Drosophila melanogaster: one gene and its partner. The protein of the gene in region 2 purifies or fractionates together with the protein of the main gene of each other region. This does not show direct contact. Each region holds a gene or a part of one and is shown on either strand. Other genes may lie near its edges. The genes, in order: msk and fl(2)d.

Region 1 (7,855 bases), on a different chromosome or scaffold from region 2:
GCACTGGTGCTACCAGCTCGCCACTGTAGTATCTTTAAAAATAAATGGATTACCTCCTGATCCACAAGCTGTCGAAACTCTACTCACTTGTAAAAGGAGCACATATCCAGGTACTTCTTTGGTACAGCCATCGTCTGCAAATCCTCCAGATTCCGGGTGGACTGAAAATCGCCACAGCACAATAACAAGTCGATCTTGGTGCCGCCAACCTTTTCGATGCCCTCTATGGTGTCGTATATTCGTTCCAGCTCGCCATGTGCACATCCTTCGACAGCTATTTTCATGGTTAATAAAGGTAAGTTACTACTTTATAAATAAAACTTGGTTGTAAACAAATGCAACCGGTTGTCCAAACAAATAACGCGTTCTGATATCGCTTATCGATCGGCAATTCAGTGTGAGAAAACGTCTTTGGGGAACGACAGGATGGACGCTCTTATCGATAACTCTACTTAATGACCGCCAATATTTAAACTGCTGAAATCTTCCGGAAACAAAGTCTTTCAGCACTTAGCATTATTAAATATAATTATATATATTAGATGTACTTATAAAATTCGTTCCCTGAACGGTTTAAATACCTCACAAAAAGGTACACAAATAAGAAAAAGATTTCTCCAGTTCAAACGTTAAAAATTTTTTTTTTTTATTTTTCAAAAATATCGCTTCATTTAGTACAGAATATACGTGTATGTGTGTATAAAGAAAATGTATGTGAAATGCTCTGCGTTGAATTCTCATTCTCTGACCTAGATGCCAACTTTTTTTTGGAGTTCTACGGGGGCGTGCTGGTGGGCACAATCTCATTTAATGAGACCTTCTCGTCCTGACGTGTTTGTTTTTCGTTTCGTTTCGTTTCGTTTACATACAAAGATTTACAATGGACTTAAGTTATCATAATTTAGTTGGCCGCCCTGGCCACAAAATAGGAAATAAAATATAAATCTACAATAAATATAGTGCGGTCTCGTCGCCGCTCGACCGATCGATTTTTTAATCTGATTAATCGACCGATTGTCGCAGCATACATGGGTACACGGAGTGTACGAAAACCAAGAGAATGCCTTCAAAGCCATCATCAGCATGCCAGATGTATTTTGTTTGATGTTTTTGTTATTTTTGGAAAGAATATGAGAAACAATCAAGTCAGAAATCGAACCAAGTGTCTGGTGATCTGGTCAATTCAGTTTCTTAGGAGCCGAACTTAAACGACGTGGGCACGGCAGTCTGCGGAAAGGCGAAGCCACCTTGCTTCTCGATCAGCTTCGATTCCTTGGCGGCTTTGCGTTGGTCAGCCGTCACCACCACCTCTTGCAGCGCCTTGGCTTGCTCAGGTGTGAGGTTGGAGGTCAACAGCGCATACCAGGCTTGGTCTTGTGCAGAAAGTGCTGATGGCGAAGATTAGGTTATTAGTTAGTTTTCCAATGGTGTACAAAATTCAGCACAACTTACCAGTAATAACTTCCTTAAACGTCCAGTACTCATCGATGGCGCTTTCGTTCTCCTCATCGTCGATGGGCGTGGTAAACGACTCCAGTCCAGTCTCGTTCAGATCACCCACAGACTCCTCGGCGTCACCGTCCGAGTCAGCATCGTCGTCCTTGATTTCGGCTTTCACTTCGAAGCCCGACTCATTGCCCTTGGTTTTGGCAAATTCGGCCAATTTATCCAGATAGTCCGGTGCCATTTCGTCCATGTCATCCTCGTCACTGGACAGAGCCTCCTCACAGTCGTCACCGTCCTCCTCCTCCTCATCTTCCTCTTCCTCCTGAGCACGAGACTCGTAGGCGCGTTTTAGACCATCGAAAAGCAAAATAAGTGCGGGCACAATCTTTCCAGCCACTTCGCTCAGAACCTGGGGCTTGGCTTCGCCCAGCGAGATGAGGGTGCACAGACCCAGGACGCAAAGTTTGCGATCGTGGATGCTGGAAAACGTAACAATAAACTATCTAGATCATTAAAAAGCATGTCCATTCTTACCCTAGGAAACAGTCCGTGTCGTGAAGCCACTGCTTGATAAAGTGCGCGCTGATAGAGTCGTTGTTTTGCTGGGACATTTTGTCCAGAATGGACAGCAGCAACTGGGGATTATAGTAGAGTGCCGCGATTACCACTTGCAGGCACATAGTGCGCAGCTCTGAGGATTGAACTTCACGTGTTAACCGGGACAGAGCCAGCTCCACGAACATATGTATCACTGAGTCGATTTGACCCTTGCACTGCAAGATAATCACTTCCATCAGTTTGGCGGCATGGCACTCGGGATCCTCGCCAGGGCTACTAGTAAGCATCTAAAATAAATTATAATTATTATAATTATTATTATAGTTATTCGAGGTTCAGACATATTTAATTATTAAGAATAGAAGCTTACCGTTTTGCACATGTCGAGAATCGCCAACAGCCTGTTGGGATTGGAGAGGAAAGCGGGCGTGTCGACCGTCACATAGTTATGCAGAGCAGGCATAATGTCGATAAAGTAGTCAATACCGTCCTTCTTGAACACCTGATAGATGAGCTCCAGCATCTGCCACATTTCGGGGGAAATGGCCTTGGCTGTCAGGTCGTAGACCAGGGAGAAGGTTTCCTCATAGAAGTCTGAAGAGATGACCAGATATTTTTATAAACGATATCAACGATTGAGGGCACAGCCAACTAACCAGTTATGTTGTGCTGGAAAATGTGTCCGACAACATTAATGACGATCGGGTGCAAGTTAAGCAGGACATCAGGATGCTCTTCCATCACACTGAGCAGAGTTTCGATAGTGTTAAGCAGACTCATGGCCGTGATGGCCTTCTCGTCGGATCCCTCCTCAGATTCTAGGACCTGGCTGAAGGTGGTGGCCAGGTGCTGGCAGATCTCGGTGGCCACGGGCAGCAATTGCTCGGTGAAGGTGCACACGATCTTTTGCATAACGTTTGTTAGATCTTCGTTCTCCGTCTCTCGAATGATGGTAAGCAGCTCCTTGGTGATCTCCTTGATCTGTGCCTCCACGTATTGCGGCGCCTCGTCCTGGGACGATATGAACATCTGCAGACCGATAGCTGCCTCCACTTTGACGGGCAGCTCCTTGTCGGTAAGCAAGGCGTTTGTGGTCAGACGCATTATCTCGGCCAGCACTTGGGGATTCTTGATTTGAACGTCACAGAAATAGTGCAGCACCCAGCACGCGCGCGCTCTCATGTGGCCCGCGGGATTTTGGAATTCTGGGAAGACGTAGGTGGTCAGCATGGACTCCACTTGGTCGCGGTACGAAGCCTTCTTCAGCAGTACGTCCGCCAGCGTTCCAATCATGTGCAAGGCACCATCTTTCTGTTTGTTGTCCGCATTCGGCGATGTAATTATCTGCATAATTGTGGCCATTGCCTTGGGCAAAATGCCCTTGCGCTTTTTGCACATAGAATGCAGCAGAGATTGGGCTGCCGGTACAGGTGTGGCATAATCCTCAAAGATATCTATTGGAATCGGTTAGTAATGTAGTTCAAGTCATTTAAAAAGTTCTCTTACCGAACTTAAGGCGAATGTACTCGTAGGGATCGCTTTCCCAGAGCTCCTGATCGGAGTCAGTAAACGACATGATGGGAAAGATCACGTCCTGGATGACAGCCACCATGTGAGGCTTAATCAGCTTCCAGGTGTAGGCGTGGCTAACCCTGCAAACGGAATAAATAACATTTAAAAAAACGAGTCAACTGATTGGAATCGACTTTTGTAACTGCAATTATAAACACTACATCTTATCAGCTTTAAAAATTTTCAGACTTTCTATCAAAGATTAGGTATCTCCTAATTAAGTAACATCGATTTTACATTCCAACTATATATCAAATGTCACATGAGAATTTATAGAATACTAAATTACTTACGCATTCTTCAGATAGTTGAGCACATCAGTGAGGACGCGTGGTGAGACGTAGACTCTGTTTCGGTACTGGTCGAGGATCTTGAGGAGCACCTCCAGCACGCCCTGGCTAAACGTGGGCAGATACCACTCTGCGAATTTTTGGTATTTTTCACTAACCACATTGCTGGGACTGCCATAACTAAATTTATACATACAACGTTAGTTATCTAGACTATGACTATAGATACTGCCGTCAACGTACCGCTCGAACATGCGAACCATGATGTGCAGGGCCCACTTCTTAGTCTTCCAGTAGGGGAACTCCGTTCGCTCATCATCGTCCAGGTGCGAGCTATCGGGCACTGCGCGATCAGCCACCTGACGACAGATCTCCATCCACTGCGAGAAGATCTCCTTGGTAATGAGGTCCAGTGGAAGGGTGTATTGCGTGAGGGCATAGTAGATCTTGAGAATTTGCTTTTGTAGCAGCACAGATTGCTCGGACTGCTCTGCCAGCAGTCGGACCATCAGCTGGTAGATCATGGGCAACAGTAGGTTCATTGCCTCGTTTAGCGGCGTCCTCTCCTCATGCCGCTTGTACTCGTAGGTCTTGACCAGCTGGTACATGGTTACCAGAGCTCCGTTCCAGCCGTTGACATCCTGGTTTTGCAGATATATGCTGATGCTATCCACCACCTGTGGCCAGCGTCCAGGGAAATCGCTTTTAATGATGTGATTGACGCAGACAGACAACTGGACCCTGTGTACAGAACGAAATTAGCCCCCTGGAAAGGATTTTCAATGGATTTACCCACCTAATCAACTCGGGGGCGTGCACAATAGCATCTACAATAGCGCCACGGATCATAGCCCGATCCTGTTCGTGTATAGAGAAGGGTATTGGCTCTCCAGGCTTGGCCTCGTGGTCCGACCAGCTGCTGTTGATCAGATTCTTGAGGTAGACAGCACCGGCCTGGCGCACCGGCTGTTCCACCGTCGTCTGCATAACGATCTGCAGTATGGTGGGCACAAATCCGATGATTTTGTGTATCTGTGGGGATTTTAATGTATAGAAATAAAATAGAATGGATATGTTTACACAGCTGTTTGGGGTTGGGTTAAATTTGAATTGGTCAAAGAATCAATGGCAGAAGCACTTTAAATTCCGTTCACAGAGCTCAATTAATATGGAGGAGCCAAGAACAACTGCTGGCCATAAGCGCTGATAAAGTTAATTGACAACAGGGGGGTTGGTGGGAGGCGATTGGGAGGGGCATGCAAATCGTTAGATGCTGACTCAGTCGTAATGAGCATGCCTCTACAGTGGGGCCAAAGCAATTGGTTAGTGGGGTGGGGTCTAATTAGACTGGCCGCTCTGATTGCCCACATTTATTTCCAAGGGAATTGCGTAAGCTTCAATCAAAGGGCATTCCGGCGATATTTCGAAAGTCTCAATTAAATATTTATTAACAATTCAGTGGATTTCCGAAGAATCACACGAAACTCGCAATAAATATGTACACATATAGAAATATATATAGCATACATACATATGTAGGTGCCCCAAAGATATCGACTTGTTGCCTCTGGGGCAACAACATAGAAGTCGGGATAATGGTAAACACATAAAGGGCAAACTTTTTGACCGATATCGGATTACACTATCCACACCCACACACTTGTACAACGACCAGAGTGATGAAGTGCGGGAGCGAGGGAGGTTAAAAGCGAACAATTAAAAAAGCACATGGTTTTCAGGCGATGGCGCCACCTCCAAAGACCTTTCGAATTCAAGTGCAGGCGTTTATTTTTGGGAGCAAACTCACCTGGGCCAGTTGATCCTCGGCCGCCTTGCGCTGTTCCGGATTCGGATCAATAGTTGCGCGCAACAGTTCCGTGAGTTTTTGTGCCTCCATTTTTGCTACTTTTGCTTGATTCTATGTTTCGCCGGTCTTTCTGCTGCACTTCGTCGTTTGGCGGTCACCTTGTGCCCACTGTGCACCCGCTGTTCTTGCCTTTATATAGACCTTGGTTTATGCTAGCCGAACCAGTGGCTCCAATGTGTGGGCCAAATTGCAAATCTCTTTTTCCGGAGGAAAAAACGTGGAAAAGACTCCACACACGCACACACACACCGCCGAAATTCGCGAGACGAACGAAGCTTAGAAGAAGAAGAAACAGCGCCTGTGTGTGTTGACTAACGCCGCAGTGTATGGGGCCCTACAGGGCTGCATTATGTTCGCCGGTAACAGTTTAGCCAAAAATTCGAGCAATATTGAAAAGCCTTCGCTGCGGAAAATCTAGGCACCATTTATATATAGACCACTTGCTTCATAAGGTAACTATATTTAAAGGCTTAAAAAACAGCGACTTTTCACAATTCCCGATAAATTGCCATTCAAGTTGCATGGCCAATCGATTGTTGCAGCCCTGGCAGCTGCTCGTACGTGAACACGCGAATGTGTGTGTGACGAAGAGCAAAGTGACACATAGTTGGAGGTGTGGTTGAAAATATATAGAAATCTGGGTTTATCTGCAACTGAAACGAAGGGAAATTTGTGTTAAAGGCGAGCGAAGATCGCAACTGAAGAGCTTTAACTGGCAGCAAGGCAAAAGGACGAGCAGCGACCATGGCAGGCAGGCTACCGGCATGCGTAATCGATGTGGGCACCGGGTGAGTTTTTAGTTTCGATTGCCCGTGGGGGTCTCCAATTGGACGGAAAGGAGGTCGACTGACTAACACTCTGCTTGTCTGCACATCCATCAGCTACTCCAAACTGGGATTTGCCGGGAATAAAGAGCCGCAGTTCATTATTCCCTCGGCGATTGCCATCAAGGAGTCGGCACGAGTGGGAGACACCAACACACGGCGCATCACAAAGGGCATCGAGGACCTGGACTTCTTCATCGGCGATGAGGCCTTCGATGCCACCGGCTACTCCATCAAGGTATGCTCTTGTATCTATGGTCATTAAGCAACCGACATCACATTTATCATTGCATTCCAATAGTATCCGGTGCGTCATGGTCTGGTGGAGGACTGGGACTTGATGGAGCGCTTTCTGGAGCAGTGCGTCTTTAAGTATCTGCGCGCCGAGCCTGAGGATCACTACTTCCTGCTGACTGAGCCGCCGCTAAATACGCCCGAAAATCGGGAGTACACCGCGGAGATAATGTTTGAGACGTTCAACGTTCCTGGTCTGTATATCGCCGTCCAGGCGGTGCTTGCCCTAGCCGCCAGTTGGGCCTCCCGGTCCGCAGAGGAGCGTACCCTTACAGGCATCGTGGTGGACAGCGGCGATGGAGTGACGCACGTCATACCCGTGGTAAGTAGCACAGATCTTATCTTATCAGCAGAGTTGGGTTGGCACTGGATTCGGTAAAAACTGTTTGAAAAGAGAACCCAAAACCGAAACAGTCGACGGATTTATTTAATAAATAAATAGCACATTCTGAGGCTATTATTAATACTACAGAATGTTATATTAAGAGGGAATTATTAAGATAAAATAGCGTATTAGTTATAACCATATAAATATATTAAGCTGTTTTTCATTTCTAGGCCGAGGGCTATGTGATCGGCTCCTGCATCAAGCACATTCCCATCGCGGGCCGCAATATCACCTCGTTCATCCAGAGCCTGCTACGCGAACGGGAGGTGGGCATTCCGCCGGAACAGAGCCTCGAGACTGCTAAAGCGATCAAGGAGAAGCACTGCTACATCTGTCCCGATATCGCCAAAGAATTTGCCAAGTACGACACGGAGCCGGGCAAGTGGATACGCAACTTTAGCGGCGTTAACACGGTAACCAAGGCGCCGTTCAATGTGGACGTGGGCTACGAGCGATTCCTGGGACCCGAGATCTTCTTCCATCCCGAGTTCTCAAACCCCGACTTTACCATTCCACTGTCGGAAATAGTGGATAATGTCATCCAAAACTGCCCAATCGATGTGCGGCGTCCTCTATACAATAACATTGTTCTGAGCGGTGGATCAACGATGTTCAA
Region 2 (7,237 bases):
ATGAGAAATACTTTTTATTACTAACTACTTGATACGAGCCACAGAACTGAGACGATTGAGTAAACGCAGCAGCATCTAGCGACTAAATTATTAATAATACTACACTTAAACCATTGACTAGTTGAAATTTACCATAACAAACTATCGTACATCTAGACAAACAAACTCTCAGCCGAAAGGATATCTCCTCCGATCGGAACAGAACTCGCTAAGCTTTAGACACCCCACATTTCCCCATGGTAGTGTAATCAACTTGTGCCATTCGAACTGCCTAGTATTTGTTATTAACTATTTAATATGGAATCGGAAGTACGTTTAACCCCCTTGCAGGTTGTCTCACCACATCCCTACTCATTTTGTACATTTCGATTGAAAGTAGGGTAAAGCAAATATCAAACTATGCCAAGCTTGCAGGCCTCTTTACCAGAACATTTTAGCCCGATCTCAAGTTTAAACTCTTCTCACAGACACAAACGAAACAAAGGATACAAACACACTCGCTGGCAGCCACAATTGTACTACATACATAAACATATTTCGAATTCAATCAAATACAAGTAAAACCATTTGTCTAATGTGCTAAAAGAAGAAACTGATAATAAACACAAGATAATTTCGAAAATCAAAACGATTGTTTTGCTGGGCGGCAATTGAAATTAAAGGACACTGGTTTTTTGAAATATTTGTTATGCTTAACAATTTATTTTAACACAAGTTTATATTATTTTACACAACTTTCATAGTATTACAAAAATGCCTTAAGTTGATAATTAAAACCTAATTTTGCTAAATGACAAGTTTTGTTTTGACCAAGCTTTCTTTTCAGCTTTTCAGTAGATGCCGTGGTTAAAAAACATAAATAGTGTATCAGTTTTTAGCATTATCATTTAGCTCGATCGTATTATTGTAAATATATGTGCTGAAGTTTTACACTGTTCTACATAATGCATTTCGTATGTAAAGCAGTGACTTCTAAATAATTTGCGAATTATGTATGTCTACGCCGCATGCAAACGAAATAATAAACGTATTTTACAAGACAATGTGTAAAAAAAATTAAAGAATCTAAAAGATAGGTTAGAAATATAAAATGAAGTCTCTCTCTGTTTTGAAATCTCAATTCACAAAAGTAAACGTCAGGAATTAACGATCAATTTGACGAACTCATATGGAGTGCACCCTTTTTTGGAAAAAGGTTCGCCAGCGCTTAGGTGGAGTAGTCGACTGCTCCGCTGCCGTTCTGCTGCATGCGGACGGACCGACGACGGGTCAGGATGCGGCCCGGTGCCGCCGGAGCACCTGGATCGCCGCCCTCAACTGGGACACCCACTTGCACTCCCGTTTCCGGGATTATTCCCGTATTGCTGTTATTAACAGCCGCAGCGGCGGCAGCAGCCTCTTCGCTCGCCATTCCGGCCACAGCGTTGTCCACGATCATGGGGACGGCCACTGGTGTTGTCACTGGCTGATGATCCTCCTCCAGCTGGGAGTTGCGACGCGTGGTAATGCCTCGCAGCTTGGACTTTTTGGGCGGCAGAGTACGTGGGGCGGTAACTTCCCTGATGGGCGGCGCTTCCTGGACGTTATTTCCTACTGGGGTGGGAGTCGGCACCACCACTACCGTTGGAAGGGCTTCCTCCTCTTGGTAGTTTCGTTTGCGGGCTAATCGCGCTGCATTTCCGTTCATATTGCTGCCATCATCCGACAGTGGTATCTGTGGCACGGCCGCGATCTGTTCGTTGTTGGTATTCCCATTGTAACAATCCGGATTCGTTGGGTTATTCGCCATGCAAGCGTCCTCGTGAATGGTCTCTAGCTTATTTATCGTCGTGTTGGTGCCACCGTTGGTGGCAGCCGCTGGAGCCACAACCTCATCCTTGATGGCCTGTTTCAACTGGGCGTTCTCCTTCTCAAGCGTTTGTATGCGATCGCGTGTGGTCTTTAGTTCTTGCTGCAAAAACAGAATGGTGCTCTGCATGCCCTCCACATCCTCGTCCAGCTCCTGCAGGAAGTCGTCCAACTCTAAATGGTAAAGGAGTTTACATATCTATAAGTTTCGATCCCAATCCTAGTTCAGATTTAACCTACCCGACTGCGATTTCTTGACCTCTTCGCTGAAGCTCTTCTGCATGGCCAGTTCGGTCTCCAGCTTGGCCAGTCTGCCGTTGGAGGTCATCTTGCCCAGCTCCTCGTTCTCCTGATAGAGCAGTCGGCACTTGGCCATTAGGCGTTTGCCGGTATTAGAGTCCGGCGTGAACTTCCATGCGGACAGCTCGTTCTGGGTCTCCTCCAGCTTGGCCTTGGTGGCCTTAAGTTCCTTCTTGAGCCGCTCGAACAGGAGATTGACCGCAGGATCGAGCAGAGCAGTGCGCAATGCGAGGGCAGTTGGCGCCTGTTGGGCCTTGTACTCGGCAATTTGGCTCTAATGGGGATTACGGGTGCATTAGTATTTGAGAAATTTGTGTATATTAAGGCGAGTACCCACCACATAGTCCTGGAATTCTTGCTCCTTGTTGGCCAGCCGTCGCATGAGGATCTTCTCGCGTCGCTGGGCGTCCGCGCATTGCTGAGCCATGCGGACCTGTTCCAGCTTGAGATTCTCGATCTCATCTGCGAATCGAAGGATAAGGATTAGCTAATAATGGGGTCTAGATAACGGGCGTTCCAAGCTGAGAGAGCCACTGTCTTTTTTTTTTTTTTTTGGTTCGCACACGAGATATAACAATATCGTACTATATATACATAGATATTTTACAAGTTCTTAATGGGCAAGGCAAAGTGTTTGTTTTTTTAGGTGGAACTTAATACGAAATCATACCAATGCGTTGCAATCATTCGTGTAAGTTCGTGACATGGTCGGTGGAAAAGGCCGCATCCCGTCGTCAATCTCTGGCTGATAATGATATTGATTTAGATTTTGATTCGATGCGAGTGTCACAACTTGAACCACTTGAACTTGGACAACACGATATCGATTTCGGTATCGAATTCGCTTGCGGTTTGGATTTCGATTTCGATTGCTTCGTTATCTCTGGCATTATCATTGGCACTTGAATAACTTGAACACCTGCCATTATTTGCATTTTGATTTCTTGCTTTTGCTTATGCATTTGCATTTGCATCGAACTTGATTGGCGATTGAATTTGAATCTTCGCGGCATTTTCGAACTTGCATACACTGTGGAAAACAACGATGACTGATTGGTATACATATTTTTTGTGGCAAAACTGAAAATATTTTTGAAAAACACTTGCAAAAAACTCGACGCACACACAATGGGCTTTCGGAAGCTTTTTCGTATGCCTATGCATGGATGTATGTATGCATGGATTTCAAAAGCTTTTCCCCTTCTCTTTTTTGCGGCATTTTCGAACACTCTTTTGTCATACAAAAAGTTTATTGACTTTGCATTTTTTGTTGGATTTGTTGTGCAAACACGTACATATATAACTTCGCTTTTGTATTTACTTAGCCAAGCAATTATTTTATATTTATATATACTATTTGATCGGGGCAAACAAATGTGTGCATGTGCGTGTGTCCCACATTGCATGTTAATTGATTGATTGGCGGCCAATTAAGCGTTTAAAAATCAATTAAGTAAGCTTAACAATTGTGAATATACACACTCACACACAAACGCACACATGTTCGCCGTATTTTGGCGCCATTTATTTAAACATTTGTATTTGTTTGAACACACGAGGCAATGTTTTTTTCATTTGACGTTCACTTCTTTAACACAATTTCAACAGAAAAAGAATTTCAACTTTATTTTCTCTTTGGTTATGCACTGTCACATTTTCAATTGATTATTTAATATTATTATTTATATTTAGGCGCGACGAAAAGAGCGTGAGGGGCGCGAAGAGAGAGAATAAGATGGGTCCAGGGGGTGGGGCAGGGGACGCAGACACGTTGGCTCTCTTCTTCTCCTCTCCACTTCTCTGCTGCTGTGCTTCTTCTTCTTCTTCAACGGGCACGTAGGCAAACGAAAAGTGGTCGCAAAACGAAAACTGTACACCGCAAAAACGACGGAAAACGAGGAAAATCTCCGATTAGGATTCTCTACTATTATTACTTGATATGCTCTATTCATTTGATGTTATTATCAGCCCGGTTTTCTCATTAAGATTATATAAAATCTTAAACTTTACTTCGTTAACCTTATCTTCTTATGATTCATTTTATAATTTTTTATTTTAAGTACGATTGCTTTCAATATTAAAGCTTAGCTCAGCTTACTGGTTATAATTGGTTACGATTCTCATATATTATTTATGATTATTTAACTCATATTTTATATTTTAGATAGTTCTGTTGCACAACACTTTGTAATCACTTGATAACTTTAGGCGTCAGTTGCCTTTTAACTTAGTTCATATTTAGGTATTATAGATTATTATATGCATGGTCCTTTTTGAAAGCACTTTCACTACATTCGACGGTTTGCTCGAGGTGGTGTTGAAAAAAATAAATAAATAAAGTTAACCAAAACGCCGCTGAAAGAATGTTCGTTGCAAAGAGTGTTCGCTTCGATTCGATTCACATAATATATACGTTGAGTTCTTTACCGAGTGTTTTTCATAAACAAATTCAAATGACACAAGAAACCCAAGTGGAGTGGGGGCAGAAATAAACTAAAAGACTACGTTTACTTGTTGTTTATATATTGCATTATTTATACAATTTACACAGAGTCAACACTTTGGATCGTGGTTTTTTCCTTTTCTTTTTTTTTTTGTCGGTATTCGAAACGAGTATGTATGTAGTATATAGGGGGTATTATATAGATCAGATAGATCTCTGATCATATAGCAGTGTACCAAAATGTGCAAAATACCTTCGAGCAAGCGCTGTCGCTGTTCGGCGGCTGCAACAGCCTCTGCAACAGCTGCTGCATGTTGCTGCTGCTGCTGTTGTTGCTGCTGCTGCAAGTGTTGCTGTTGCTGCTGCTGCTGCTGCTGCTCCTGATGGTGATGATGGTGCGGATGCGGATGGTGATGATGATGGTGGTCCTCCAAGCCGGAGGGCGTTGGGGAGGCGGGGCCGCCAGTGGCCCCACTGTTTTGGCTGCTGTTTAGGATATTTAGGTTTTGCTCGTATTTGGTCGGGGGCATTTTGTCGTAACTGTTCATACAGGGTCTTTGATCGTCCATAGTCATTGCAGCGACACTCATTATTTGGATATTAAAACGCTGTGCTTGTTACTCTTGCTGTTGTTGTTGTTGTTGTTGCGGGTCCTTTGCTGGCGTTGTTGCTGTTGCTTTTCATAGGGGCCGCTCGCTCGCTCTCACACACGCACGCAAACACACACACACACAGGCGCTCTCACCTCCTCCAATACCACACGCACACACAGGCAAGCTATCGCTCACACCAATGGCGACGCGTATGGCGAACGTTTTGCAAAACGTTGATTTCGCGTACTTTTCGCGCTTGCTCAAAGCTTAATTAATGATTTATATCTTTATTGTCCTTTAATTCACACTTTTCATATGTTTTGGGTCGGTTGGGCTCACTTTTACGGCGATATTTTTTAATTTTTCTGCGCTGCGAGCTGATTTCTCGTTTGCTGCTGTTAACTGTTGTTCGCAATCCAACATGGCGTCGCTGAAAAATACCAGATTTGCCATCGACACAAATGCAGACCTGGGGTGCGTGGCTCGGATATGGGGTAGCGGAGACTCAACCCAGTTCCGTTCACACTGCCACAAATTTTGCCAAATAATTATTAGATAACAAATTTATTTAACTTCTAAATTGCACTGATAATTCCTTCCTTACGTCTACCGCCATAGCTTTGCATCCAATACTAACGATATTTACATAGTTAGAAATAATTAGGAACAATCAAATACAAGTGAGAAAGTTGTATCTTACGTTACTGTTTATTTTTTTGTAAGATTTATTTAGGGGTCACACTGGTGGACTGTTTTGGATATTGTTTTTATATTCAAAACGCAAAAACATGGCAGAAACCACTGGTGTGCAAATAAAACTGGAACAGCAAAACATCAAGGAGCGCCTGAATCTGCACGTCAAGCGGCGCCTGCAGCAGGATGCGGATAATCCCGCCGAGAGTCCCGAATTGCTGCCCACCGATGCGAATGCCAAGCGCAGCAAGACGAAAGATGTCTCAAAACCAAGAAAACCCTACCAAAAACGGACAGAAAAACCGAAAACAGAGGCGACCAAGTGCAAGAAAGGTATTTAAGTTGATTAAGCAATAGATTCCCCCAAATACATTGTTATTTTGCAGTTGGACAATTGGGCAGTCCGGCGGGTGAAGTGGATCCAATGGATGACCAGGAGACGGAAGGCTTTTCCCCGGAGGCGCCGGATGGCAAATCCGCCAGACGGGATTGCTGCAAAAATGCCGACATCCTCAACATAGTTTTGAACGCTAAGAAACGTAGTTTAATGCAGGATCCTGAAGTTCAGGCCTTCTGGACCGAAATAACCAATTGCATAAAGGGCTGAAAGCTTAACTGATCATAAGGGTCATTAGATCATAAGGAAATATTGTTGATGTTCGGGATATTTGTTATATGAACAACATTAAATATCTAATATTAGGGCTGTTGTACAAATATGTAAATAAAATAAAATAAGTGTTAATCCAAAAATTGTTCTATTATTCTAAATAGTTTCTAAATTTGTTTAAGAACTGGAAAAAAGCTACAAAACAAGTGCATACATTTGATCTATATAATGTGAAGAAGTAGTTAACATTATATAATATTTCAGTACAGATTTATAGCAGAGCAAAGCCGGCAGTTTTTCGGATTGATATCTTCAGTTCCAACCCTATTAACATAATGACATGAACCGACATTGCAAAAAAAATATATTTGTTTTAGCTATAAACAATCTGATAACAATATTGAAAGCAATAATACTCATTTGAAATTGAAATTTCTAGCTACAATGCTTTAAAATTAAGCAGTACTTTTTAAAAAATTTTCATTTTGTAGAAGCCAAGCAAAAATATTATGAAATTTATAACATAACATTGTTTTGAAAATGTTTTTTAGTATCTATAAAAATCCAATCCTCAATCGGTAATTTCTAAATTTTGAGAGAGAAGTAGTAAGCCTAGAAGTTTTAAAATACTTTTTTAAACTTATAGCAGACTAAAAATAAATTGAATTTATGACATAACATTATTATAAAAAATTTATTTGGATACTGTAGATATCCAATCATTCGGTAAATTTAAAAATTTGAAAAAAA

The links.
Region 1: the proteins of fl(2)d (region 2) and msk purify together in Drosophila melanogaster (affinity purification with mass spectrometry, with the first as the bait; one study listed by BioGRID). This does not show direct contact.

The regions. Positions count from the first base shown.
Region 1 is NT_037436.4:8,114,348-8,122,202, reverse strand, and holds msk (moleskin), read right to left. Parts: upstream 6,025-7,855; 5' UTR 5,764-6,024; coding exon 5,674-5,763; intron 4,899-5,673; coding exon 4,663-4,898; intron 4,608-4,662; coding exon 4,110-4,607; intron 4,047-4,109; coding exon 3,870-4,046; intron 3,657-3,869; coding exon 3,511-3,656; intron 3,459-3,510; coding exon 2,661-3,458; intron 2,599-2,660; coding exon 2,375-2,598; intron 2,292-2,374; coding exon 1,981-2,291; intron 1,926-1,980; coding exon 1,453-1,925; intron 1,389-1,452; coding exon 1,192-1,388; 3' UTR 624-1,191; downstream 1-623. Other genes in the region: ldbr (lariat debranching enzyme), read right to left, coding at 1-32, 88-284; Arp3 (Actin-related protein 3), read left to right, coding at 6,478-6,521, 6,615-6,795, 6,859-7,173, 7,410-7,855.
Region 2 is NT_033778.4:13,818,948-13,826,184, forward strand, and holds fl(2)d (female lethal d), read right to left. Parts: upstream 5,607-7,237; 5' UTR 5,182-5,606; coding exon 4,845-5,181; intron 3,229-4,844; exon of another isoform or gene 2,819-3,228; intron 2,611-2,818; coding exon 2,486-2,610; intron 2,423-2,485; coding exon 2,089-2,422; intron 2,023-2,088; coding exon 1,208-2,022; 3' UTR 677-1,207; downstream 1-676. Other genes in the region: CG13339 (uncharacterized protein), read left to right, coding at 5,973-6,210, 6,264-6,484. UniProt on the Drosophila melanogaster protein: Associated component of the WMM complex, a complex that mediates N6-methyladenosine (m6A) methylation of mRNAs, a modification that plays a role in the efficiency of mRNA splicing and is required for sex determination.